Callithrix jacchus: one gene and its partners. The protein of the gene in region 2 purifies or fractionates together with the protein of the main gene of each other region. This does not show direct contact. Links are inferred from orthologs where the notes say so. Each region holds a gene or a part of one and is shown on either strand. Other genes may lie near its edges. The genes, in order: VPS45, SLC39A4, LEMD2, ABCB10, MGAT1, AGPAT4 and LETMD1.

The links.
Region 1: the proteins of SLC39A4 (region 2) and VPS45 purify together in Homo sapiens (affinity purification with mass spectrometry; 3 studies listed by BioGRID and IntAct, counting the BioPlex papers as one, with this or other methods). This does not show direct contact. The link is inferred for Callithrix jacchus from reciprocal best matches to the Homo sapiens genes SLC39A4 and VPS45.
Region 3: the proteins of SLC39A4 (region 2) and LEMD2 purify together in Homo sapiens (affinity purification with mass spectrometry; 3 studies listed by BioGRID and IntAct, counting the BioPlex papers as one, with this or other methods). This does not show direct contact. The link is inferred for Callithrix jacchus from reciprocal best matches to the Homo sapiens genes SLC39A4 and LEMD2.
Region 4: the proteins of SLC39A4 (region 2) and ABCB10 purify together in Homo sapiens (affinity purification with mass spectrometry; 3 studies listed by BioGRID and IntAct, counting the BioPlex papers as one, with this or other methods). This does not show direct contact. The link is inferred for Callithrix jacchus from reciprocal best matches to the Homo sapiens genes SLC39A4 and ABCB10.
Region 5: the proteins of SLC39A4 (region 2) and MGAT1 purify together in Homo sapiens (affinity purification with mass spectrometry; 3 studies listed by BioGRID and IntAct, with this or other methods). This does not show direct contact. The link is inferred for Callithrix jacchus from reciprocal best matches to the Homo sapiens genes SLC39A4 and MGAT1.
Region 6: the proteins of SLC39A4 (region 2) and AGPAT4 purify together in Homo sapiens (affinity purification with mass spectrometry; 3 studies listed by BioGRID and IntAct, with this or other methods). This does not show direct contact. The link is inferred for Callithrix jacchus from reciprocal best matches to the Homo sapiens genes SLC39A4 and AGPAT4.
Region 7: the proteins of SLC39A4 (region 2) and LETMD1 purify together in Homo sapiens (affinity purification with mass spectrometry; 3 studies listed by BioGRID and IntAct, counting the BioPlex papers as one, with this or other methods). This does not show direct contact. The link is inferred for Callithrix jacchus from reciprocal best matches to the Homo sapiens genes SLC39A4 and LETMD1.

Annotation. Positions count from the first base shown.
Region 1 is NC_133519.1:9,988,385-9,992,494, forward strand, and holds the start of VPS45 (vacuolar protein sorting-associated protein 45), read left to right. Parts: upstream 1-1,310; 5' UTR 1,311-1,432; coding exon 1,433-1,525; intron 1,526-2,201; coding exon 2,202-2,336; intron 2,337-4,110. UniProt on the Homo sapiens protein: May play a role in vesicle-mediated protein trafficking from the Golgi stack through the trans-Golgi network.
Region 2 is NC_133517.1:53,215,004-53,219,062, forward strand, and holds the start of SLC39A4 (zinc transporter ZIP4), read left to right. Parts: upstream 1-1,259; 5' UTR 1,260-1,340; coding exon 1,341-1,532; intron 1,533-2,053; coding exon 2,054-2,317; intron 2,318-2,676; coding exon 2,677-2,869; intron 2,870-2,984; coding exon 2,985-3,121; intron 3,122-3,195; coding exon 3,196-3,367; intron 3,368-3,657; coding exon 3,658-3,830; intron 3,831-4,004; coding exon 4,005-4,059. UniProt on the Homo sapiens protein: Selective transporter that mediates the uptake of Zn(2+). Plays an essential role for dietary zinc uptake from small intestine. The Zn(2+) uniporter activity is regulated by zinc availability.
Region 3 is NC_133505.1:42,070,276-42,073,775, reverse strand, and holds part of LEMD2 (LEM domain-containing protein 2), read left to right. Parts: intron 1-949; coding exon 950-1,095; intron 1,096-2,095; coding exon 2,096-2,197; intron 2,198-2,278; coding exon 2,279-2,381; intron 2,382-3,500. UniProt on the Homo sapiens protein: Nuclear lamina-associated inner nuclear membrane protein that is involved in nuclear structure organization, maintenance of nuclear envelope (NE) integrity and NE reformation after mitosis.
Region 4 is NC_133520.1:21,036,244-21,039,014, forward strand, and holds the end of ABCB10 (ATP-binding cassette sub-family B member 10, mitochondrial), read left to right. Parts: intron 1-428; coding exon 429-660; 3' UTR 661-2,271; downstream 2,272-2,771.
Region 5 is NC_133503.1:73,372,577-73,376,639, reverse strand, and holds the start of MGAT1 (alpha-1,3-mannosyl-glycoprotein 2-beta-N-acetylglucosaminyltransferase), read left to right. Parts: upstream 1-1,263; 5' UTR 1,264-1,476; intron 1,477-1,629; exon of another isoform or gene 1,630-1,740; intron 1,741-1,930; exon of another isoform or gene 1,931-2,409; intron 2,410-2,690; 5' UTR 2,691-3,117; intron 3,118-4,063. UniProt on the Homo sapiens protein: Initiates complex N-linked carbohydrate formation. Essential for the conversion of high-mannose to hybrid and complex N-glycans.
Region 6 is NC_133505.1:167,620,959-167,624,458, forward strand, and holds part of AGPAT4 (1-acyl-sn-glycerol-3-phosphate acyltransferase delta), read right to left. Parts: coding exon 3,458-3,500; intron 213-3,457; coding exon 14-212; intron 1-13. UniProt on the Homo sapiens protein: Converts 1-acyl-sn-glycerol-3-phosphate (lysophosphatidic acid or LPA) into 1,2-diacyl-sn-glycerol-3-phosphate (phosphatidic acid or PA) by incorporating an acyl moiety at the sn-2 position of the glycerol backbone.
Region 7 is NC_133510.1:68,390,127-68,394,353, reverse strand, and holds the start of LETMD1 (LETM1 domain-containing protein 1), read left to right. Parts: upstream 1-1,427; 5' UTR 1,428-1,436; coding exon 1,437-1,558; intron 1,559-2,111; exon of another isoform or gene 2,112-2,112; coding exon 2,113-2,264; intron 2,265-4,227. UniProt on the Homo sapiens protein: Plays an essential role for mitochondrial structure and function, as well as thermogenesis of brown adipocytes.

The DNA of each region.
Region 1 (4,110 bases), on a different chromosome or scaffold from region 2:
AAAATTAGAAAATGCCTAAAGGGAAGCTTTATTTACTTGGTAGAAAAATTGAAAAACAAAACAAAACACATTCTTCACAGTTTCAGAGGTGACAAAAATCTCTTATATTTCAGTGGTTCCGATCTTCCTTAAGGGATTTGAAAATTGTATATAATGTTGCATAATCTCAAGCACATTAATGCTAAAGTGCTATTGGTTATTTTAATCGTGTATTTCTTACAATATAAAGAATTTATTTGGTAACGCTGAATCTATTGACCACAAACTCTGTCATTATTTTGGTGAAACTATTCATAAGCATTTATAGTTACTGATTTCTAGCACTTGTTTCTCATCTTCCTGATTTTACAATTCCCCAAAGTAAAGGGGCAAAAACCAAACATCTATTCTCTTTTTCATAGGGGGAGATCTGTGTGGTGTAAACACAAATGCAGACCTTCCAAGTTGATGGTTTCAAGATTCAATAAAAACTTGAGAGTTTTTGCTTCGAATCCCCACGCTACTTTGTTTTAGCTCTACGGGATACGTGTTCCCTACCCATTTCAAAGGACCCAGGCAACTCGGCTCTTGCCTGCAGTTTCAGCGCGCGAGTTGGAGCTGGCAGAGTTCAATTGCTCAGGATGCTGAGTCGGGGGCAGGGCAGAGAGAGACACTCGCAGGTCCGGTGGTCCTGCAGGCTGCGGGCCCCCAAGGCCGACCCTAGCTGGAACCGCAGTCCTCTTCCCCAAAACATCCGTAAAAGGCGTTCCCTTTGTTCATTCAACAAACATTTGTTCAATTTCATATGCCCTCTGTCTTGGGAAAACCAATTCAGGCCTCTGCAGCCCCAACACAGAGGCACTGTTCCCGCCTTATTAATGACCCGGTGAAGCCAGGAAGACGAATCTCGACCACTGCTGCGCAAATACCGCGCGTGGTTTATTAAATGCCTTCTCTCTGAGTCCCAAATGGCCGGGAGCATTAGGCCACCTCCCTTGCCCTCATCTCTCGCTACCACGCAAGAAAGCGTTAATCGCAGATAGTGACCATGGCCCCGATCCGTCGTTCCTGCTTCCAAACAAGCTTTGTGCCAGCTTCCTCATTTTGCGAGGCTCCACTCTCCTGGGCTTCAGGCTGCGGCTGGGCCTCCGGGACCAAAGGCCAAACCGGGTCTAGAGTCCCGGCCACAGACACCTCTACATGCGGGTGTAGAATAGCGCCCCCGCGTGGCGGCGGCCCAGGGCGTCTCAGCCAGATTTTTCCATCTCCGGGGTAGGCTTGGTCCCCCGTACTCTCCAGCGGAACTACAACTCCCAGCACCGTGGTTGCCCGGACTCCCGGAAGCCAAGCCCTGCAGGGAGGAAGCAGCTGAGACCCCGCCAACAAACCGGGGGGTTAATTTAGCCAGAAAAGGGGGCGGGAAGGGCTCTGGGACACCTGTCAATTCGCCACCATGAACGTGGTTTTTGCTGTGAAGCAGTACATTTCCAAAATGATAGAGGACAGCGGGCCTGGTATGAAAGTACTTCTCATGGATAAAGAGACGGTGAGTTTGCTTTTGCTCAGCATTTGTGAAGGAACCCTCTCAACCTTACAAAGGCTGGTCTCATTCCACTGTAGGATTTAGCATTTAATGTAAAGATATGAAAATGGGGTCAGTTTGTGTGGGACTGAAAAGTTGTATAAAGCTTGTACGATGGATTTTCAGTCTAAATGGCTCCAGCCACTGCCCAGAGACTACTTCTACCCGGAACAATTTATTGGAATCAGAAATCTTTTTCTAAAAGCCTCTGAAAAGAAATCATGAATATGTCAGAGCACTTGGAAGACTTTGGGATGGGCCCACTGTTTCCACTCAACATTGTGTTTTAAAGTAAAGCTGTTGGAGCTCAAGCTGAAATGACAGGTTATTTGTGGGCCAAGACCAGAAAACAAAACTCGTTAAGGTGATAGAAAAAATTATTTTTGGAAATGTATGGATTGTTCCTGTTAAAAGAGAGGATTTTTTTTTTTTTTTTTAACCTTGAAGCTTCAGCTGAAAGGATAGAGTATATTTTTCATTCTCGTATGTTACCTACCTGTTTGGATGTTCAGTAAATGTTATTCCATATATTACTATTTAATTTATCCAGCTAAGTATTAATGAAAAAAGAGGCTAGATATGCTACTTGTTTTTATTATTCTAGACTAGCATACTTTTAGTTAATTCTTTGTTTTTACAGACTGGCATAGTGAGTATGGTGTACACACAGTCGGAGATTCTTCAGAAAGAAGTGTACCTCTTTGAACGCATTGATTCTCAAAATCGAGAGATCATGAAACACCTGAAGGCAATTTGTTTTCTTCGACCTACAAAGGTACTGCATAAACTGGGCTGCCATCTGCCCAGGCAGATGCAGAACACTCTGATCTGAAAGCATTAAGACGGCAAAATAAATTTGTATTATCATGATTTGTAATTATCATTATCGGTGGCATCATAACTATCCTGGATCATCAGTGTTATAACCTTCTTCTCGTTTTGTTTCCATATTTCAGTTGACCCCTTACAGCCAGTTCTTCCTTCAAGATATCTTTTAGGTTCACAGCTATTCCCATTGCCACTAAAGAGCTACTCTCAACAGAGACCACATGGCTTCATTCCTGGATTAACCTCTGTATCTGTCACATTGAACACCATCAACACTTCATTTTATGTACAGCTATGAATGTCTTGAATCTTTACCACTTTATTCACATTTACGCTCAGGAACCTGTAATGACTCAGTGTTACTTCCATGATTAAATCTTTATTTAGCCAGCAGTTAAAGCCCTTCTTTAGTTGAGCTGCACATTTGTATCCAGCCTTCCTATGTCCTAGATCTGCTTCTCCTCTATAGCCAGCTAGGCTGCCATTGGAATGAGCCATTCTACATGCTCATTCCTGTTCCCTATTTGTTTTTCTTCTTTCACTAATTAAAAGTTCTTTGGTCATTTGTCAGTTTTTGTCCATCACCTTCTAAATCTAGCTTGAGTCTCTCCTTTGAAAATCCTTTCCTAGGCCGGGCGCGGTGGCTCACGCCTGTAATCCAAGCACTTTGGAGGCCAAGGTGGGTGGATCACCTGAGGTCGGGAGTTCAAGACCAGCCTGACCAACATGGTGAAACCCCATCTTTAAAAAAAATAATAAAATAAAATTTAGAAAATTAAAAATTAAAATTCTTTCTTATTTTCATCTTATTTTTTATACTTTCTTGTTTCATATTCATGTTCTTCAACTCTAATGCATTTTACCATGCTTGTACATTATGTGCTTTCTGAAATGCAAATTTGATCATGACACTTCCGCTTGAAATTCTTGAATGACCTCTCATTGCTTTTATGATAAGGACAAAACTCCTTAATTGTAGGCCGCGAGGTGCAGCATGGTCTAGTTTCTGCCATTTCTCCAGCCTCATTTTGAACCATTTCACTTTTGAACTCTGCACCTTAGCCCCCCTAATCTTTCAATCCGCTATATTCCCCTTGTTCCGTCATGCCGCAGGACCTTTGCATAGGCCTCTTCCTCTGCTGTGAACTTCACTTCCTCAAGTAAAGCTTTCCTGGTTTTGCCGACCAGGTCAAACCTGCCTCTTATATGCACTTACAACACCATCTTTATCTCCCTATTGCTTGTCATGGTTTGAACTTTTGTATGGTGTGCGTGATTACCAGCAGTAAGCTCCATGAATACAGACACAATATCTGTTTCTTCTCATCCTGTATTCCCAATGCTTGCCACACAGTGGACACTCAATAAATAGTTGCCGAATTCATGAATACATGCTATGTTATAATAGTTTCCAATTGTTTCATATTTATAGCACTTAGTCATGAAAATTTGGTTCAAGAGGGATCTTAGAGATCATCTTGTTCGTTATTTCCTAACGTTTTTTATTAGAGAAACTCACTGCTATGTATTGTCTCTCAAACTCTTTTAACAATTCTTCCTTTTTCTTTTTTTCATTTTATATATTCTGTTATCTTTTGCCTTTTTCCACATGTTCTGAACTTTTAGGAATCTTTTAATTCACTTTGTTATTTTTGCCTAGCATATTGTGAAGAAGTGATTTTTGGTTTAAAAGATTTATTAAAATGTTTTGCTTTAAGATT
Region 2 (4,059 bases):
GCTGTGTGCAGACAGACTGGGCACAGGGTCAGGACCAGACCAAGACCTTTGTCCTGAAGCTAAAATAGGCTCTGGAGCCATGGGAGGCTCCAGCCGGCCACTGGTACTGGGGTCATGTGGGAGAGAAAGGGCCAGTTTGGGTCCGCAGCATCTTCAGGCTGTGTGCAGAGCTGCCCCCCTTGTGGTCCTGGGACCCAGAAATTTTCTACACCCACAGGTGGTCTCCCCTAAGGGCCCCCAGAGGGATACCACTGTGGGTGGGCCTAGCGAGAAGGACACCATGAGATCTGCTGCATGGCAAGGTGAGGCCAGAAGGGGAAGCACCCTGACCCCAGGACACTGGGCCCAATGCCCGTCCTGCCCTGCTGCGCCCTGCCCTGTGCATGGCAGGACAGAGTCCTTGGGCCTCAGGAGCCCAGCTCCCCACCCCAGCCCCACCCACAACACTCAGGGTCAGGCTGGCTGGGCTGGGCAGGAGGCGGCATCCAGGCTCCCACTTCGCAAAGCTGCCCTGAGATCTGCTGCCCCTTCCCCCAGACTTCCTGCCTCCACCACCGCAGTAGAGATAAGGCCTCTGGGCTCAAAGGCCAGAGAGGGAGTCCGCAGGGAGGGCAGGGCTGGGAGCCACAGCCTCCCTGCCCCCAGGCCTAGAGCTGGGGTCTTGCCCCAACCTTGTCCCGACACAAGCCTGGCCAGGTGGCTGCTGGGACCCAGGTCCGTCTCCTGTTTGTCTGTGCTGGAGCTTCTTGGGGCTGTCCTCAGCCTAGAGGAGCGTGACGCAGCAGGCACCTTTTCAGTTCTTTCAACCCCATCACCGTCCCCAACAGGGACCACAGCCCATGACCCAGGAGGAGAGAGGCCCATGTCCCCACCCCCAACCGGGCCACCAAGGGCGTCTGGGCAGCCTCTGCTAAGGGCTGTCAGGAGGGGGCCGAGGCCTGGGCCTGGGGCTCTAAGAGCATCTGTGAACCTCTGCCCTGCGTCCCCCAAGCTTGGAAGCAGCCCCCAGATGGAGAGCCAGAAGGGGACACCCTGGCCCTGCCTCACAGCTTGGGGGGTTGCTGGCAGAGGAGCAGATACCCAGACTGCCCATCCAGGGGAAGGGGCCCAGCCCTTGCCCCCCACAGGCAGTGGCTCCAGGCTGTCGGGGAGGATCTGCCGCTGGAATGGTTAACCCAGGTAACTCCAGCAGCCAATCACAGAGCTCTGCAGGAATACCTGGGAGAGGTCCTCACGCGGGCGGGTCCTAGCCCAGCCCCAGTCTGGCCCCAGGCAGCCCCAGCAAAGCCGCCCTCAGCCAGCCCAGAAGCAACACCCACTGAGCACACTGGGAGCTGAGTATGGCGGCCCTGGTCCCGCTAGAGCTGGGGCTGCTGCTGGCTGTGCTGGTGGTGACGGTGACGGCGTCCCCGTCTGCTGGTCTGCTGAGCCTGCTCACCTCTGGCCAGGGCGCTCTGGATCAAGAGGCGCTGGGCAGCCTGTTAAATACGCTGGCGGACCGTGTGCACTGCACCAACGGGCCGTGTGGAAAGGTAACAGCCCCACCCGACGGGTCCCGCAGCCCTGGCCTCTTGCCGCCTGCTCCGCCCTGCTAGCCAGCAGCAAAGGACCCTGGGCAAACTCCAGGAGGCGGCGGAGGCTGGCAGTAGTACCTGGGCACCCTGCCCTGCCTGCAGGCTAGAGCCCACCCTTCTGCTCATTGGGGGCAGACGGGTCTGCCTCTCCATGGACACACAGCCCCTCTTCTCCCCAGGACCCTGGGGCCACCTCCCCCTGCTGGCCCCAGCCATCAAATTGGCAGTGGCTCTAGGGGAGTCCCCCGGGAATGGGGGACCACTGTTGGGGACCCCTCTGCATGCACCCCGTAGTTGGGGAAACAGAACAGGGGCCTGGGGAGACAGAAGGACATAAGGAGTTGAGAATGGGTGGCGGATGCTGTTGGACATGAGAGGGAGAGGAGTGGGAAGGGGCCTGCTGGGAAGCCCCTTGGCTGGGCTGGCTTCTCCTCTCCCTGGTGGGCCCAGCGCCCCTGCCCACCCATCTCTGCCCACAGTGCTTTTCTGTGGAGGATGCCCTGAGCCTGGGCGAACCCCCGGGTCCAGTCCTGGAGACTGGGTATATCGCCCGCCTCAGTGCCGCTGCTGCCCTGTACCTCAGCAACCCCGAGGGCATATGTGAGGGCGCTCAGGCTGGCGGCTGGGCCTCTCATGCGGATGACCTCCTGGCCCGGCTCGAAAGCCCTGAGGGCTTGATCCTGGGCCTGAGCAGGCTGCTGCAGAGGATGCAAGCCCGGGCTGCTGGCCAGGCCCTCAAGACGGTGAGAGAGAGACCAGGCAGACTAGGGGAATGGGTGACGAGGGCCCCACAGCCAAGGGGGCCGGGCCTGCAGAGCCTTTAGGGAGCCTGGGGGCCTGGAGAGATGCCTGGGGGTCGGCCTCGGGCTGGGGATTCACAATGTGGGGCTCACTACTGATCAGGTGGGGGTCTCATGAGGAGGGAACCAGAGGGCTGAGTGGGAGCCTGGGGCAGCTGGTCCCAGCAGGGAGGGCTGCGGCTCCAGGGAGGGCTGGGCTGGTGGGGCACATCCTGCCTTGGAGGGAGATGCATCCAGCGGGTGGGTGGCAGAGCTGCATACAAGGTCACACTGAAGGCTGAGGCCAGGCCCCTCTTCCTCAGGCCTGCGTAGACATCCCGCAGCTGCTGGAGGAGGCTGTGGAGGCGGGGGCTCCAGGCAGTGCTGGGGGCGTCCTGGCTGCCCTGCTGGACCACGTCAGGAGCGGGTCTTGCTTCCTCGCTTTGCCCAGCCCTCAGTACTTTGTGGACTTTGTGTTCCAGCAACACGGCAGTGAGGCTCCTATCACGCTGGCCGGTGAGGCCTGGGCTGGGCTGTGGATGGGGGCGCCCCTGAGCCCCAGCCTCTGTGTCCCTGGGCAGCAGGGCTGGAGCCCACACAGACTCATGGTGCCGACCATTCTCCCTGCCAGAGCTGTCAGCCTTGATGCGGCGCCTGGGGGTGGGCAGGGAGGCCCATGACAACCACAGTCATCAGCACAGGAGGGCCAGCAGCCAGGACCCTGTGCCCCTCTCTACCTCCAACAGCAGCTCCAGCGTGTGGGACACGGTGAGCTGTGCCCTGGGGTAAGATTGGCCCCACTGGGGTCTGCTCAGGCCCCTGACCTGTCCTGCCACTCCCAGGTATGCCTGAGTGCCAGGGACATGATGGCTGTGTATGGACTGTCGGAGGAGGCAGGGGTGACCCCGGAGGCCTGGGCCCAACTGAGCCCTGCCCTGCTCCAACAGCAGCTGAGTGGAGCCTGCACCTCCCAGCATGGGCCCCCCGTCCAGGACCAGCTCACCCAGGCAGAGAGTGAGTGCCTGCCCTGGCACTGCGCTGGCAGCTCGGAGGTGGGACCCATGGAGGGAGGAAGAAGTGGCTGCAGAGAATGAGGGATGGAGAGAGCAGGCAGGGGCTGGGGGTAGAAACAGCAGACACAGGGAAAGGGGGGTCTCCAGGAGGGGAGTGGCACTTTGAGGCAGGAGGGTCGGCTTGAGTGAAGGCCTGGCGCACACTGAGCACTTGCAGCCCCGGTGAGCAACACCCCAGAAGCAGGGGCTGAGTCTAGAAGAAAAGCTCTCACTGGCCTCATCTGCCCCCAGGCTATCTGTATGGCTCCCTGGCCACGCTGCTCATCTGCCTCTGTGCCATTTTTGGCCTCCTGCTGCTGACCTGCACTGGCTGCAGGGGGGTCACCCACTATGTCCTGCAGACCTTCCTGAGCCTGGCAGTGGGTGCACTCACTGGGGACGCTGTCCTGCATCTGATGCCCAAGGTCTGTCCCCCACAACCCTCCCTGACCGCCGCCCTTCCTTCCCCACCTTGGACTCCCAGGCCATGCCCTCCAGGGCCCTTACCCACCCCAGCACTGAACCCTGACCCCTCTCCCTGGGTCTGGGGAGGAGGTACCCTGAGACCCCTCCCCCAGTCCAGTGCCCCTACTCCCCAGGTGTTGGGGCTGCACACACACAGTGAAGAGGGCCTCAGCCCACAGCCCACCTGGC
Region 3 (3,500 bases), on a different chromosome or scaffold from region 2:
TACTAATTCCATCAGCACTGCATCCAGCATAAGCCCCTTGGGCAGCTCAGCCTCAAGCTGGATAACTGGATGCATGGCACGATTAAAATTCGTTGACTTAAAAAAAAAAAAAAAGCTGCCCTGAGTAGCTGAGCAATTTTCCTGTGTTAGAAAAGGTGGAGAAGAATACGGATTTTATCCTCAGCAGCAGTGCTCACTGAAGCTGCTAACACAGAAGAACGATGACACTCGCCTTTTCATGTTGGGGAAGGCAGCCTGGAGGGTGGCTGAGCCACTCAGGATGACCATGTTGAAAGTGGGTCCTGAGAAATCAGGACACTTGGGATGCCAGCCCTTCCAGCGTGCAACATCAAGAGCATGATATTCTCACCCTGGGCCAGCTAGCTGGAAGAAGGCTCTGGTGTCCACATCTCTGCAGGTCCTGACACCACCTGGCCAGAGACCATGGTGGCGCTGTGGCTGGGGTCTGGCCTCGGGGAGCCTGGTGGTTTTCATTCCCCATGAGCCTCACGGATGCCCTGTGATCTTTACGCTTAAACAGCTTCTGTGCCTCCTCGTCGCGGAGGAAAAGCGCAACCTCCCAGATTCTTTCAGTTCTTGTCATGCAATTGCAAAGCTAGTGATTCAGTAAACATTTCCATTTCTCTATGCTGGGGGGTGGGAATCCAATTTACAGTTTAATCTCCTGCACGCTGAGAGAGGCTGTCAAAGACCCCACAGAGGGGGACATCGCTTTAGCGGTAGGGGCTCAAATCTGCTGCCGTCTTTAAAGCTTTATTCATTCTAAGTAGCCAATGTGGGAAATTTCTGGAAAGCGTGTAGCCAGGATACCAAGACAATTCTATAAGCAAGTAGAGGCCTGACGTCCCCTCCTTCTTTCCCTTCCTTCTGTTTGAAGCGCCTTTCTTTGGAGCTCTTGAACATGTTTAGAGCCCTGTGTCCTTTGCAGGTTGAAAGGAGAAGACCAGTCTGAACTGGTGACGACTGTGGACAAGGTGGTCTGCCTGGAATCTGCCCGTCCCCGCATGGGTGTCGGCTGCCGCCTGAGCCGCGCCCTGCTCACTGCTCTTACCAACGTGCTCATCTTCTTCTGGTGTAAGTCTTTGGCCGCTTTCCCTCCCCTTCTATGCAGTCAGGTGCACTCCTGGGTGAGTGATGAGCTATAGAAATTCCCAGGCCCGGAGGGTTTATTTCTGTCTAGTGAACCTGAGGTCTGTCTCATAAAACAGAGGAGATGAACAAGTCAGCCTCTGCCCGGAGTTGTCTTTACCTTTGGAGATTGGTGGCAGGAACGTGAGGATAAGTAGAAAATGTCCTTGATTCAGGGCAGGGGACTGTCAGGTTTCCTGAGTGGGAGCCGGGCCTGGGCAGGAGCCGGGCCCCACCCCTTCTGGGCTCTGCAGGAATGCCAGTGTGAACCAGCTTCCAGCAGGACGCACAGTCGGGGCTTGGCCTAATTTTACTCCTTGAAAAATGTAAACATCTCCTGGAGAGCTACAGATACCTGATGAAAAGCAAGAAGGACTCAGGGTGCTGAGCTGAAAGGAGAGCACCAGTCTCATCTCCTGACATTAGGGGCTGCCTTTGAGCAGAGACCTCAGGGTGTCTCTGAAGGCAAAAGGCCAGGTCGCAGAAACCACTGCTCTCCAGAGTCAGTTGGAGCTGCAGATCACAGACCGCCTCGGTGTACACACAGCTCCCTCCCCCACACCATCAGGCACAGAAATCATTATCGGCAGCAGCATCTCCGAATACAAAGGGCCCTGGCATGTATATATGTATGAAACACCGCGTTCTGGTTCACAAGGGAGGAGATGAAAGCTCCGGAATGAGGCTGGGAGGAGCCGAGATCTGGACGGCTGGGGATGCCGCTGTGGTGACAGCCGGCGGGAGGAAGATGATCACTTAATAGTCTGTCCTCCTCCTGCATTTCTTGGTCCTTTGTTTCCTGCATGCTGGCCCTGAGCCTGACACGTAGTAGGCACCCAAACCCATGTGGCAGATCCCCGATGGCCTCCGTCACAGTGTCTTGTCGTTGGTGAGACCCACTGCCACAGGAAGTGTGAGGGAGTAATGGTGTTTTGTTCCCTCACAGGCTTGGCTTTTTTGTGGGGGCTCCTAATTCTCCTGAAATATCGGTGGCGGAAGTTAGAAGAAGAGGAACAGGCCATGTATGAGATGGTGAAGAAGATTATAGGTGCGTGGCCCCCCAGTGAGAAAAGGCCTGCCAGTGCCAGCTGGAAGGTCCTTGCCCTAAACGGTGTGCTCTCTCCTGCAGACGTGGTCCAGGACCATTATGTGGACTGGGAGCAGGACATGGAGCGCTACCCATACGTAGGCATCTTGCATGTGCGAGACACCCTGATCCCTCCACAGAGCCGGTGAGTCCCTGGCTGGGGCACTGGGCATGGGGTGAGGCGGGGTCTGACCCCAGTGAGCACTACAGAAGGAAGCCCAGAGCCTTGAGTCAGATGTCAGCCAACGGCAGCACATCCCCCAAGGCCAAGAGTGGCACTGTTCTCCCTCCTGCTGCTCCCCAGCGTGCTCAGCTCTTTATGGCAGGATGAGCTAGAGAAGACGTATGAAAGCGCAATCCTGCACCTCTGTAGACAGAACACTGGCAGTGGTGATACCAGTTGGGAGGCCTTGGGCTCCATGTAGTAGCAGCACCCTCCCCGCAAGGTGCAAGTAGTGAAGGATCTCCCAGGTCTCTGCAAGTGAAGCTCAGAGCTGCGTGGGCTCCAGGCACACAACAGTCAGGTCTCTGGTTCCACTGCTCTGTGATTCTCATGGTCCCACATTCCTCCATGGATGTTATCAGCAGGCTGGGATTCCTGATGGTTGCAGATGGTGGCCAACAGCAGTTAGGGCACTGTCTGCCTTGTCACAGCCAGCAGGGGACAAGTGGGCCTCCTATTGCTCTCTTAGAAGCAAGAGAAACTGTTCCCAGTAGCCTTCAGTGACACACTCCTTGAGGCTCTGTTGACCAGAATTAGTTACTTGTCTGTTTATGAGTCAGTCACTGGCAAGGAGGAGGAGATTGTTTTTCAAACTTTTTAAACCATGACCCTCAGCCAGAAACACCTGATACCTGCAACTTCGTGGTCCAGTTCCCACACACTCATGCATATACATGTAATTGAAAGCAAAGTTTCACACCAGTGAATGGGGTCAGCTTCCAGGGCACATGGTTTCATGGGAAGGGGTGGCAGGGCCATTGTCATGCACAGCTGCAGGGCTTCCACAAGGGCTGTGACTGCCAGAGTTGTACACTGGGGTCTGACAAAACCGGGGTGGAGAAGGGGACAGAGTCCCAGGAGATAGTCAGCAGGGCCCCCAGTGTTAGCTCTGGTTGGGGTCCCTCCCCAGCAGACTCTGCTGTGTTTTCTGGCTAGATGCTGTCATCTGCTGGGTGATGCTGAGAGCTCACCCTTGCTGAGTGCTCGCTGGGAGCCAGGCACTGCTCGGAGCTCTCCACAGCTGCAGACTCACTCCTGTGG
Region 4 (2,771 bases), on a different chromosome or scaffold from region 2:
TTAATAATTTATGTGATTATATGTAGGAAACCAAATTCTTTCTTCACCAAAACGTTTTAATTCTGTACCTCAAAGTGGATATAACTGAAAATGCTTCCCCCCCTTTACTTTAAATTGATGGAGGCTGAATAAATAATGAGAGTTGAAAAGCAGTGGGCAGACTGAGTCATAATTGAGGGTTCTAGGTCCACTTCAGACATGGTTGCTATCAATCCTAATCATTCTGTAAGCTGCAACTGTACAGAATGCCTTTCTCCTTATATCACAGTATAGTTTTATGGAGATCAAGGAGTCCCAAACAGCTGAAATTTTGATCTTAGTAAAAATTCATTGCTCAGGAAGGGCCGCTGTGTATCAGGAAGTACATGAGCCTGGAGTACGGCTGGCACTGACATCTTTGCTTTCTTATGTGTGTGCTCCTGTGTCAGTGCGCTGGATGCTGAAAATGAGTTCCTTGTTCAAGAAGCTCTAGATCGACTGATGGATGGAAGAACGGTGTTAATTATTGCCCATCGTCTCTCCACCATTAAGAATGCTAATGTGGTTGCTGTTCTTGACCAAGGAAAAATTACTGAATATGGAAAACATGAAGAACTGCTTTCAAAACCAAATGGGATATACAGAAAACTAATGAACAAACAAAGTTTTATGTCAGCATAAAGAAGCAATTACTGGTAAACAATATGAAAGACTTTAATACAAAATAGTGACGCAGAAAAAAAGAGACTATATGAAATATGTAAACTATGTAACAAGTTATTTGAAAAATACCTATTTTTTCCAAAGTATGTAAAATATTATTTTGAAATGTACCTGTTCTCAAGATCTTTTTATTCAGAGTTTTAATAATTGCAACTTTTTAAATGTCTATAGCACTGAAGTTATTTTCAGGTTTTGTATTTTCTTTTATCGTGAAATATTTTAATGAATATAGCATGGCACCTCATTTTCTTTTCCTTGCTGTTAAAGATTGAAGTTATTGTCAAATGACAACTTTTAAAAGGGAATTACAAATAAAAAGCCTGATTATTTTAGGCCAGTTTACCAATCACTGTGTAATTCTTCTGGTAGTATTCCACCTGCTTTAAGTCTAATTTTACTAGGTAAAGTAATGGAAAATGAAAATTTAACCCTTTATTTTATTCTGATAATCTCATGAAGCAAACCTGGTTAACTAGTTAAAGTCAGCTGGAAAGAAGGGAACATTTATGTTGCCCATCTCCTGTGTCTTCAAATGTGTGAGAGTTGAGGAATATGTGTTCCTATGGGAACTATGTTTCAGTATGTGCAGTTTTCAACATTTTGGCACATGAAAGCCTGACATGTTTTTAAAAGGGCAGAAACTGCATTTTTTACACAGGAAAACCTGTTTTTTTAATTCAATGTTTATATGAGTACTTTTGGGAAGCAAGGCATTAACTGTTGGGTATTAAGAATGAATGAATTTTGCATTTAAGTTGTTTGAAGGCATGTATTTTGAAAAATATCTGTTACAAATTTATAATTCCAAGACAAATTGAATCTTCATTTTTTTATAATACTTTTAGAATTTCATTAATAAGGCTAAAATCTGAGGACTATAACTACCATTTAGCCTTAAGACATTTAAGTTTGGAAGTTCTTACTATTCAACAGAATAACAAAAAACCTTCAGAATGTATCACTCTCCTGAAAAGAAGACATTAATAAGCCCTTTTATTTATGGTTATAGTTTTATTAAGTCTCAAAATTCCTAAAGCAATGCTGACAACCATTGAATTTGCTATAATTTGTATCAGTGCTGTTAATTTGCTGTTGCCTTTAGAAAAAGTGCTTTTTCTCCACTGATGAGGCTAGACTCCAATAAGTAATTATGTCAGTGTAAATAAAACGGAAGTATTTCCATGAACTAAGCATTTATTAGTTCCCTGATTAGACTGGAAGACGAAACCACTATTTCATGAAAAACATGGAATATTATATTTCATTCTTCATAATTTATTAATGAATAAAATTGATATGAATGAATGAATGTAGTGTTCTTTGAATTAGTAAACAGTATATCTGTGACAATCATTTTAACAAGTTCTACTTGTGTTCTTTATAAAGTGTGATTTTCAGAAAGCAAACAAAACATAATTACAAGGTTGAATCTGAGAAAAATAATCCTTGTACCATAGAAGTATTTACAAAATTGCATTTCATTGTTATGTTTTATTTTCTGATACATGATATTCAATTATATCTTTAGGTAATATTTTAATCATAGATTAAAATTTATAGTGAACTTTATCTGTGTCTGTCACTTTTTTTTAATGACCTAAGAACCAAAGCAGCAGTCTGTCACTTCTTATAAAACTACATTGTTGCTTACTAGAATTTGGCTGTGGAGATTCAGGAATCCAGAAAAGACTTAACATAGCCGGGCGCAGTGGTTCACACCTGTAATCCCAGCACTTTGGGAGGCTGAGGTGGGTGGATCACGAGGTCAAGAGATCGAGACCATCCTGGTCAACAAGGTGAAACCCCAGCTAAAAATACAAAAATTAGCTGGGCATGGTGGTGGGTGCCTGTAGTCCCAACTACTCGGGAGGCTGAGGCAGGAGAATTGCTTGAACCCAGGAGGCGGAGGTTGTGGTAAGCCGAGATCATGCCATTGCAGTCCAGCCTGGGTAACAACAGCGAAACTCCGTCTGAGATTAAAAAAAAAAAAAAGAAAAGACTAACATTACACAAATAGAAAAACATGTTGTAATTAAAAGTCCCATTCATTCCTCCTGATCAAAGTTTGT
Region 5 (4,063 bases), on a different chromosome or scaffold from region 2:
GACTTTAGCGTTTTATTTCATGCAAACTAAGAAGCCACTGTGCGGTTTGGAGCAAAGAAACGACAGGATTCCCGTGGCTGCTGTGCGGAAATGACAGCTACTGGGAGGGTGGAGAGGACAGGGTGACCTAGGTGTTCAGGTGAGAGATGAAGCGGGGCTGTGGATATGCCGAGATGATGCAGCCTAGACACAGACTGAAGGCAGAGTCAACAGGGTTTCTAATCAGATTGTGTCAACAGTGTGAGAGAGTGAGGCTGGCTCTTCGGGTTCTGGCTTGAGTGAAGGGAGCCGCCATTAATGCTGATGGGAAAGACAGGTGGGCGGAGGTTTGGAGATGGGGGAAGAAAAGGGTCTTATTTTCTTCCTCCTTGGAATAATATATTCCAAGCAATATATAATTAAGCAATATGTATTTTTTCCATTAAGAAAGTCCCAAATATTATACTGTTCCAAATAAAAAAATCATTTCAAGACTCCTGACGCAGCAACCATTACAATCCCAGTACTGTTAATGTTCCAGTCAAGTCAGTCCGTGCTCTGGAGACATCCCATGACGCAACACAGGCCAGGAGACCAGGCCTAGATTCCGGTTTTCGAAAAAGGGGGCAAAAACGGAGGCGGCAAATCCATCCCCAGTCCTGGCAAGATTCTCGAAAATGGCGGGAGAGGGCTGCATAAGAACTTCAAAAACGAGCAGCGGGTTCCTTGGATTCAGCGTGAGGGGAAAAAACCGCGGGGCAATTTTGGAACTTAAGAGTCCATGTTTGAAGGAGCCGGAGGCTGCCTGCGAGGAGCCCCGGGCACGACTGTTAGGGCCGCGCCGGCCAGGCCGCCCTCCTCCAGGCAGCCTCGGTTGGGCGGCTTCCGCGCCGGCGGGCCCGGCCGCAGGTACCTGGCCAGCACTTGTCCGAGGGAAGCGCGGGCGCACCCTGCAAGAGTCCTGTCTCGTCAAGAGAGGCAGCGAGAGACAGCAGCAATGAACGAAACAGAATCTTCCTCAACTACTGCTACACAAGAGCCCCCAGCCGAGGAGCAGGAACACACAAGCCCCGTTGCTTTCTGAAAACCTTGTCGCCAGGACCCGCGACAAGCAGGGGAGCAGCGCTCTTTTCGAAAAGCCAGGCCAAGCGGGCCGTTGCTGGGCGACCTTTGGGCGGAGGGAGAGAGCAGGGCTGCCCCGCACCGGCTCCGTCCTCACTTCAGCATCCTCGCCCCGCCCCTCCCGCTCAAGCCCCACCTAGCACCCGGAGGGCTGACGCATGCGTGCTTCTTCCCGCGTGGCTCCAGGAGCCGCGCGCTCCCACAGCCGGCCAGTCTCTTCTGCCCCGCCCCCTCCTGTACGGCCGCTACTCTGCGCCCCGACTTCGTTCTCACAACCTGGTTCTGCCCACACCTGTTCTTCAGCCCTGTGACCAGTGGCTGTAGAACAATCTCAGGCCTGGCCGAGCCACCTCCCTCGCTTCCGTGGTGGCGGTGGTGAAGGGCTGGGGACGGGGTGGGGGGAGGGCGGGTAGAAAAATGGGCGGGATGTGGGAGGTGGCGTTGCTGGCCCACTTCCGGATGCGGGCGGAAGTAGCTGCGGTGGATGGTGGGAGGGGGGAAGGAGTGCGAGGGGAGGGCCGGGCCGTCGGGGGTCGAGGGGGTGGGGCCTGGGCTGGCGCAAGGGATCGGGCCTGGGTCCTGGATTGCTAACCCGGGCGGGCCGCGACTCCTAGCCGAGACCGGGCGGGTGGGCACCAGGTAACGACCCGGCGCAGTTAGGGCTAGGGTCGTCCGCAGGGCGGACCGGTGGGGGTCGGAGTCCAGGGAGGGTCGCGGTGTCACCCCCTGCTGTGAACCCGGAGCTCGGGGTTCCGGGGAGAAGGGTGGGAGGAGTTAAATTCTTGGAGGGGGTGGAGGTCATGTGGACGCCACGCCCCTACAGGAAGGCAGTGGGGGAGGGAGGGGGAGAGACAGAGACAGGGAAAGTGTGAGAGTGTGTGTGTGTCTGTTTTGGAATAAACTTGGAGGGGAGGGGGGCGACAGGGGTGAGCTTCCGGGCTGAGAAATGGGGACACTGGGGGGGTACTGCAAGCAGGATTCGGGCCTTAAGCATTCCAGCAGAGTGTTCTCTAGCCCCGGGAAGGACTTTGACAGTGGTTGGGAATTATATCTCTGGCACAGTTTTGCAAGCAGAGGCGGAGCTGAGGGTTGAAGGAAAAGGAGCAAAGAATGCATGTGGAAGGTGCCAACATCTCGGTCTGGAAAGGATTTATTAACTAGTTTAGTTGAAGAAGGCTGGTGAATTAAAACAGCACCCTAAGAAGCTTGGGAGTTTCGATTATTATGTTGTGCTTTAGACGGGAGGGCAGGAGAAAGGGCGTTATTTTCTCTATTTCTTAGAAGACAGTCCTCAGTAATTTTTCTGTGGTGAGAATGGGTACCACCCATATTTTATCCTGAATCACGTATATGTTTGTACATATATATAATATGTTTATATATAAACACTTGATGAGGTGACTATTCTGGCGTGTGATACCTAAGTAGATGTTTTGTATAATCTTGTGCAGCGTTTAACGAGGGTTTTTTGATGATAGAGCCTAGTATCGACTCTTAATGTAGGTAGGGAGTGGAAACTAGAAGGTTTTAAGACTCTATTTGGGTATATACTAGATTAGAGAATGTTATAATGTTTAAATGTTCTGCAGGTTAACACCGAAATCTGCCTCCTGGGCCATGCGGCTTCTAAGACCTGTTTCTTCTCATGAGCCCCAGCAGAAGACTATGGGCCAGTTCTCACAGTGGATAACTTCCCCTGCTTGAGCAAGAGATGGGATAGTATCTGGGATCTGTCTATCACCAGACTCTGAGCTTAATAAGGCAGCTGAATGAAGGGATGTAACGGACCCCTGAGAGTGGCACTGAAGTCTGCAGTGGGGGGGGAGGGGCCTGGACACACCCCTTCCCCCCCAGACTCCTCCCCTTCAGGGTCAGCTCAGCCATGGACTTTGGACCTGGATAGGAAGAGAGAAGCTGCACTTTGTTTGGTGGATCTGATTTGGGATTCTCAGTTTTGGAAATGGAGTGCTGGATGGGGGCTTGACGATCTCCAGGGGAGCAGCTGAGACAAGAAAGGTAAGGCTCCTGTCTCATTTCCCACTTAGTGACTTGCTGCGCCTGTGCAGGTGTTGCGCGAGTGTGTTTGCCGAGACTACTATTCAGTAAGTCTTATTCAGATGGGTACACTGGAAGCTACACCTTTCCTTTACTCTGTCCGGATGTATACTTGTTCCCAACCTCTCCTTACCCAGGTTGGATGAATGCCTTGGATTGTGAGCAATAGCAGTTGTGAGGTTAGGCCAAGGAGAACATGAAAATAATTCAGGCTTCTGAAGGGAGGTTGGATTAGTTGACGTTTAAGGGCCCTTCCAACAGGGAGATAATAGGATTCCAAGTCAGTCTGGGTTAAGACTGGAATGGATTACCTGGGCAGAGGCAGCTGCTCTGTTTTGGGGAGCTAACTGAATAGGACTGTTGGTAGGGGGGAGGGGGTGGGAATGGTCTAGATAACCTCCTAAGTTGTCTCTCTTCCTCCTTCTAAAACGGGAGCTTAGGCCATGAAAGCTCAGCAAAAGAGCCGAGTAACAGAACATAGGTTTGGGAGTCAGAAGTACTTGTGTTCTAGCTTTGACTTTTTTAGTCAGTGTTCAACCCTACACAGGCCGATTAATCTCTGCCATGTTCTCTTCACCTACTAAATGGGGGAAAAACTAACTTTCCATGTTCACAAGTTGTTACAAGGGGCAAATGAAACAATGAAGGATTTTGAAAAGTATCCAGGGCCATGCTCATAGGAAACAATAACACTGATATTGCTCAATATGCTTTAAAAGCACGGAAACATCTCCAAATTAGGAGTTCTGTTTTCTTATTGAAATAGTGTGCTGGCAAGAACCCAAGAAGATGTCCTTAATTAAAAGTCTGCCCCTGAATCTGTTTCATCCTCTTGTTAAATAATACTTGAGATCGTCAAGTTGTAGAACAGGTGAATGGATCCAAGGAGAACTTGGATTAAAGAATT
Region 6 (3,500 bases), on a different chromosome or scaffold from region 2:
GCCCTCCACTCACCCACGAAGAAGACGAGGATGAAGCTGGCCAGCGTCAGGGAAGACCCGCTCCTGATCATGCTGACCAAGAACTGGAAGAAAGGGTAGAGCATCAATGAGGCCCAAAACAGCCAGTTCACCAGGGTCCAGGGCCGCCTGGGGGGCACCATAGGCGTCTCCGGGAAGGTGCCCGTCCTGTAGTACTCCTCCTGAAAGGCATCCTAGGGGATAGAAAGGGGACCCTCAGACGCCACACGGGGCTTGGTGGCAGGTCCCTCCTAAGGCCCCACTTCTGAGGGAATCACAGACACACACGGGTGCCAATGGGGTTCGGCAGAACTGGGGTCTGTGGCTCCTTCCAGAGAGTGCTTAGTGGGCAGCTGCTGTCTTCTCGATGCTGTAACCAGCTGCCCCCTCCCACAGGGACACTGGGAGTGGCAGGGCTGCTGTAGCTGTCACTGAGTGCAGGGCATGGAGCATGAGCACTGGCGCCAGGCCAGCCTGGGCTAGGATCCACCTGCTGCGGGCAAGCGCCTGCATCCCTGAGCCCAGGCCCCGGTCTGTCTCATGGGGCAGCAGTGCCTTCTACAGCAAGTCAGTGGGAGATGGGAGTGGATACTCCATGGAAACCTGGCCGGCAGTCAGGGAGGAGCTCGCCACCCGGCCCGGCCTTCTCCGCAGCCAGTTCTCCTCGGCTCCTGCGGGGCAGCCCACATGCACCAGGGGTGGTGCTGGCCGTGAGGAGGGGAGCAGAGCTGAGCCAGGCAGCCACAGGGAGTTGCCCAGGTTGTAGCGTGGGCAGCTGCCTCAGCTATTGTGAAAGTTGCACGTGGCTGACACACAAAACGCGTGAGTCACGGCGAGGTCCAGTTTGTGTCCCATGAACTAGCCCGGTAATTTCCCAGTTCTCTAAGGAGTCAAGTTTTCTGGAAAATGAGCTTCCATATAATTGAAATTTATGCTGTTTTCCTTTAACAACTTGAGATAGATAGAAAAGTCTGAAGTACCTCACACTTTTCTTTTCCATTCAGGGTGTACTGAATCACAGGCTTCCTTCGCCTCTCGGAGTCACTTTTAGTATTAGTCACTAATGAGGCCATTTGGGAAGGAGAACCCCCAGCCCTTCCCTGGGCAGTTCAGGTGCCTCTGCTCTGTCCTCGGCCCCCTGCAGCCCATTCACAAGCCTGGTCCAAAGCGTCACTTGTCATGTGACTCTGCTCTTGGACATCAGCCAAGGGAAGCCACATCATCAAGCAGTTAGAGAATAATCAATGTGTGCCAAGCACACCCTCAAGCAGTGAGAGCGATCAGATGGTGGAGGAGACCGAGCAATTTCACACAAAGAGGTGAGCACCATGACAGCAGCATAGGCGACGCCCAGAGAGGTGGCACCCAACCCTGCCAGGGAAGGAAGCAGCACTCCGCCTGCCCACCAGCCTGGCCTGCTTTTTCTTCTCCTGGATTGGGGCCATGGGACACCTGGGAACTAGGCAAGGGGGTGATATTTTTGCACCTTGTTAAAATATATATATATATATATATATATATATATGGCTTTCTTAAGGTGTCATTTCCGTGCCATAAAACCCATTTTAAAAATGGGCAAATGTGGTTTTTGAAAGAATTTTCCGTAATAGTCTTTATAGTACTTTTTTATGGTAATATCACAGAGGGGAACTCATCATCGTGCCTTTTTCTGTCTTGTTTCCAGAAAGACATTTGCTAGGCCAAGATTTTTGTATCTGCATCAATAGCAAGAAAAAGAAAGCACTCCCTTTTCTGTGAGCTGTACAGCTCAGAACTTCCCATGCACTTTATTTTTTGAGACAGAGTCTTGCTCTGTCACACAGGCTGGAGTGCAAAGGCACCATCTCTGCTCACTGCAACCTCCACCTGCTGGGTTCAAGGGATTCTGCCGCCTCAGCCTCCCAGTAGCTGGGATTACAGGCACCCGCCATGATGCCTGGCTTTGTATTTTTGTAGAGACGGGGTTTCACCATGTTGGCCAGGCTGGTCTCGAACACTTGAGCTCAGGTGATCTGCCTCAGCTTCCCAACGTGTTGGGATTACAGGTGTGAGCCACCACATTTGGCCCCATTCACTTTAAAGTTTTCTTTCTCTCTGGTTTAAAACACTAAATCTCACCCCCACCCTTCACTTTTGGCCCATGACATTGCCACAGGACCTCCCACAGACAGCCGGGGAGAGACCAGGGCAGCCAGCTCCGGCCACACTTCAGGCTCCCAAAGCAGAATGTCCACGACCAATCTTGGTCCTACAACTCATTTTGTAGTAAAATTTGCCCCACAGGGAAAGGACTTCGTGTTTTTGTTTCTGTATGTTACTGTCTGGCACAGTATAAAGTTGGAATTGGGAAATGGAGTCACTGAACGAAGGAGAGTCTGTTTGTTTCCAGAAAGAAGCATCAACCCACAAGCTGAAAGGAGGACGAGATCCTACTGATGGGGCAGATTCCCGGGACAAACACCTCCTGCAGCCGGCAACAAAGGCTCACCGGAGGAGACCTGCACAGAGCACATCTGCTCAGCTTCCCAGCCGCTCAGCTCAGCAAAGATAATGTGTCTTAGGGCCCCGGGGAAGGAAGGAGGGGAGGAAGAACAGGAATGAAAAAAGAACAGAAGAGAAAGCGGGGGAACAGAAGGGAAGAAGGGGCTCCTCTTAGCAGGTGTGGGTGGGGCAGGCTCCATGAGGAGTCCTCGCAAGCCTCGGCCTCAGGCCACAGGCATCACCCGAGTGCACGGCCAGGACTTGCAAAGGACTTACTGGGGCGCCGAGCCTTGAGGCCACTGCTGCCCCTCTAAGGAGCATGACCCTTCCGGTTTAAGTGAAAAAACAACTGCCAGTCCTAAAAGTGGTCCTTGTCCTTGAGGGCCAGAGCAGGGGGCACACTGCTTCCCACTGGCTACCATGCCTGCGTGCCACCCAGAGCTGCTCCCGACTTTGGCCTCCACAAGACAGCTCTGGATGTAGCTTGCTTTCACTTACTTGTCTTTAGAGACAGGGTCTTGCTCTGTTGCCCAGGCTAGAGTGCAGCAGCACAATCATAGCTCACTGTAACCTCGAACTCGTAGACTCAAGCGGTCCTCCCACTTCATCTTCCCCAGTAGCTGGGACTACAGGTGCACACCCCTAGGCCCAGCTAATTTTTTTAATTTTTTGTAAAGAGAGGCTCTCATTATGTTGCCCAGACTGGTTTCAAACCCCTAGCCTCAAGTGATCCTCCATCCTCAGCCTCCCAAAGCGCTGGGATTACTGGCATAGGCCACTGTGCCCAGCCCCTCCTTAAAAGATAATGTTCTTTATTGCTGAGAGAGGGCTGGCTGCAGACTCGTTAATAACTGGCTGTGAGATCTCACCTACCAGGAAAATGCCTGTGCCACCACACGGCAGCACGGCGCGTCCACAGCTGTGACATGAAGGGACCCCTGGTGCCCAGTGCACTGACCTTCTCCTGGTAGAGTTTGTGCAGCCAGGCCGAGCACTTGGCA
Region 7 (4,227 bases), on a different chromosome or scaffold from region 2:
AGGGAAATAAACTCAGAACTAAAGTAACATATCCAAGGTAACATTCACAAAAAGAAATGGCAGTGCGAAGATTGAACCTACATCCAGGGCACCCACCTGGGATGCTCTACCACCCTCCATGAAGATTGAATATTTATATATATCCAGGAGGACTGCTAACTCTTGGAGGCAGTTGAGTACCACTTCTGAGAATCCTTCTTAGTTTCGAGTATTTATTCAAAAATGTTTATGGAGCACCTACTATGTGCTAACTATGGCAGAGTTGGAGGTGCAGCAATGAAGAAGGCAGAGAAGATGCTTACCCTCATTCTAGTTCAGGGAGCCATCAAACAAGGACACAAATATATAAACACTATAAGTGACAGATGCTATAAACAAAATACAAGGCTGGGCGTGGTGGCTCACGCCTGTAATCCCAGCACTTTGAGAGGCTGAGGCAGATGGATCACAAAGTCAGGATATTAAGACAATCCTGGCCAAGATGGTGAAACCCCCTCTGTACTAAAATACAAAAAATTCACCGCGTGTGGTGGTACACACCTGTAGTCTCAGCTCCTGGGGAGGCTGAGGCAGGAGAATCGCTTGAACCTGGGAGGCAGAGGTTGCAGTGAATCGAGATCGCGCCACTGCACTCGAGTCTCGGCGACAGAGCGAGATCCTGTCCCAAAAAAGAAAAAAAAAGAGGAGTAACATTAGAATAAGTGTGAAGTGTGTCCTTTTTTGCTGGCATTACTTCAGATAGGGTGGTCAGAGAAATCCTCTCAGAAAAGTAACATTTGAGACAGAGCTTGGTCTTCGGTAGGCTCTTAACGAAAACCATTTTCCCACAAACTTAGTTCTGGAAACGACAAAGAAAGGAAAAAGTGTACTTAGTCTGCACAAGGGCCGCTCCCAGGCCTCCAACATTCGCTGCCAGACTGTGACTGGAAAGTGGACAGTTCCCGGCCTATCCACGCCGCCACCATTAGAGGACGCCGCGGGTCCTCCCAGTCCCCAGGAGGCGCCATGGCCCCCGGCACTGCCAAACTGACATCTGGTACCTAACAGTCGAGGCCCCGACGCCCCGCGTCCAGGAAGAGGGCAAGGGCGGAGCTGGGAAGCCATGAGGCCCTAGGGAATCGCGGAGGGTCACTGGGCCCCTCAAGGAGAGGGCGTCCTCGGCATCGCAAACCCACACCAGTGGCATAAGAACTTGCTCCCTCAGGGACAGCCTGTTTCCGGCGCCTTTAAACCAGGAAGTACTGCTGTGTCCAATCCTGGCCCTCCTTTCGCACTTAGTCTTTGAGTCCTTCCTCTCCTGGCTTGTGCTGGAGCCAAGGAGGCTAAGGCTACCAATCAGCGCTCAGAAAAGGCGCATGCGTCTTCGAACGAACACCGCAGACGGTTAACTTTGACCCAAAAGCAACCTCCCCTCTCCCCCTTCTCTCGCTGTCAAGATGGCGCTCTCCAGGGTGTGCTGGGCTCGGGCTGCTGTGTGGGGTTCAGCAGTCACCCCTGGACATTTTGTCACCTGGAGGCTGCAACTTGGTCGCTCTGGCCTGGCTTGGAGGGGCCCTCGGTGAGGGACCTGTAGCGAGAAAAGCATTTTTGACGTCCAGGCTCTCAGTGTCTGAACCTTGCTTGCATTCTCTCTTAATTCTCAAGAGTTCCACGCCTTGGCCCTGGAATTTTTCTTCTTCTGCTCAGGATTCAAACTGCGATCCCCAGCCATAGTGATGTGGCTTCCTGGCCCTCTCTACTCTCAGTGCCCCCATATTGTCTGGTCTCCCCGCGTCTCCTGAGCTCATCTTTCAGCCTCACTTTTTTCGGCTCAGGTTTTGCCGCTATCTCGATTCCACCTCTCTCTGACTTAGCCTGCAGTTCAAATTGTCCCACAGGCATTGCGCTCTCTCCAGAGTCATACCCTGAGTTCCTTTCCTGCCTGGCCTTTGCTTGATCTTTGTTTCTCAGTCTGATTGCCTATCTCTTCTTGACCCCAAGATCTTCCTTGGATTTCAGAAGTGTCAAGCCTTGGCATACATTCTCCGAGACTCCTGCTTTACGTTAGGGACTCAAGGCGTGAGGGAGCTTCTAGGACCGGTTCCCAGATAGTCTCTTTGATCTTCCTTGTAGGTCTTCAAAGCTTCACCTTTCTCCAAAGGCAGATGTGAAGAACTTGATGTCTTATGTGGTGACCAAGACAAAAGCGATTAATGGGAAATACCATCGTTTCTTGGGTCGTCATTTCCCCCGCTTCTATGTCCTGTACACCATCTTCACGAAAGGTAAAAACGGAACTATAAGAGAAATTCCTGAATCAGCTCTTGGGCAGGATCAGAGAGTTCGAATAAATAAGATCATTTGCAGGTTCTGCTATGGGGATGTGAGCCAAGATATCTTATATTTCATAAATGCTTGTGCCTTAAACTAATTCTTATAAATTAGCACTTCTTGAGAATGTTTCTAGAAAGATGTTACGAGAAACAACTTATGACAGCAGCACGATGGGGGAGGGAGAATATAGGTATGTTCTTGGACTTTTCTTAACCACACACCTGGCTATAGTAGAAATCTTTTTGTCCAGCGCAGGGCAGGGATCTATGGCTGTACAGACCTGCCCTGTGATTGATTTCCTGTGACCCATAGGAAAATGAGGTCTAACCCTTGTTACAAATCTATGTTAGGTAGCATGTTGTAGTGGAAATAGCACTGCATAATACTTGGTTTCTAGATGTTTGGTTTCAAATCAGAGATCCTTAGTTACTAGGAGATGATATGTGTAGTGCCAGGTGTCTACTCTGGAGCCAGAGTGCCTGAATCACATTTCAGCTCATCACTGTGTGATTGGACTAATTAACTAACCTCTCTGTTTTTTGTTTTTTTAATCTGTAAAATGGGAGTTATAGAACCTACCTATTTATCACATGGTTGTGAAGATAAAAAAAATCGATATATGTAAAGTACACAGAACAGGTCCTGATCCTTAGTAAGTGCCAAATAAATGTTAGTGATTGTTATCTAAATGATAGATAACAATATTGTAGGTTGGTACAGAAGTAATTGGGGCTTTTGTCTTTCAATGGCAAAAACCGAAATTGCTTTTGCACCAATCTATAATATGCTCTATGATTTTTTTTTTTTTTTTTAAAGATGGGGTTTTACCATGATGGCCAGGCTGGTCTTGAACTCCTGACCTCAGGTGATCCACCCACCTCGGCCTCCCAAAGTGCTAGGATTACAGGCGTGAGCCACCGCGCCTGGCCAATATGCTCTATGTTTTTATCATAACACTGTACTAAACTTCACTGTCAACTCTGAACATTATCTTATTACTAGCTTCATGGACTTGAAAAATTACTTATCCTTAATCTGTAAAGTGGAGATAAAATTGGCTGCTTTTTCTGTTCTCATGTAGATAAATAGGATCAAATGAGAGAAAGAGATGAAAGCATTTGTGTTTGTTTTTAAACTTTGTATTATGGAAATTTTTAAACATACGCAAAAGTAGAGAGAATAGTGTAACAAAGTTCCATGTATTCACCTCACTTCATTATCGTAACTCATGGCTGCCAATCTTCGTTTATATACTCGCCTTAGGTATTATTTTGAAGACAGTTGAGACATCATATAATGACATGGAAATCATTGATAAATATGAAAGCCTTAAAAATAGATGCAAGAATTTTCATAGAATGAAGATTTAAAATATAGAAATATATTCAATTAGATTACTTTATTTATTTATTTATTTATTTATTTTGAGACGGAGTTTTGCTCTTGTAACCCAGACTGGAGTGCAATTGCACGATCTCGGCTCACCGCAACCTCCGCCTTCTGGGTTCAAGCAATTCTCCTGCCTCACCCTCCCGAGTAGCTGGGATTACAGGCACACGCCACCATGCCCAGCTAATTTTTGTATTTTTAGTAGAGACGGGGTTTCACCATGTTGACCATGATGGTTTCAATCTCTTGACCTCGTGATCCACCCGCCTCGGCCTCCCAAAGTGCTGGGATTATAGGCATGAGCCACCGCGCCGGGCCTATTTATTATTTATTTATTTATTTATTTTGTGACGGAGTTTCACTCTTGTTACCCAGGCTGGAGTGCAATGGTGCGATCTCAGCTCACCGCAACCTCCACCTCCTGGGTTCAGGCAATTCACCTGCCTCAGCCTCCTGAGTAGCTGGGATTACAGGCACGTGCTACTGTGCCCAGCTAAGTTTTTGTATTTTTAGTAGAGACGGGGT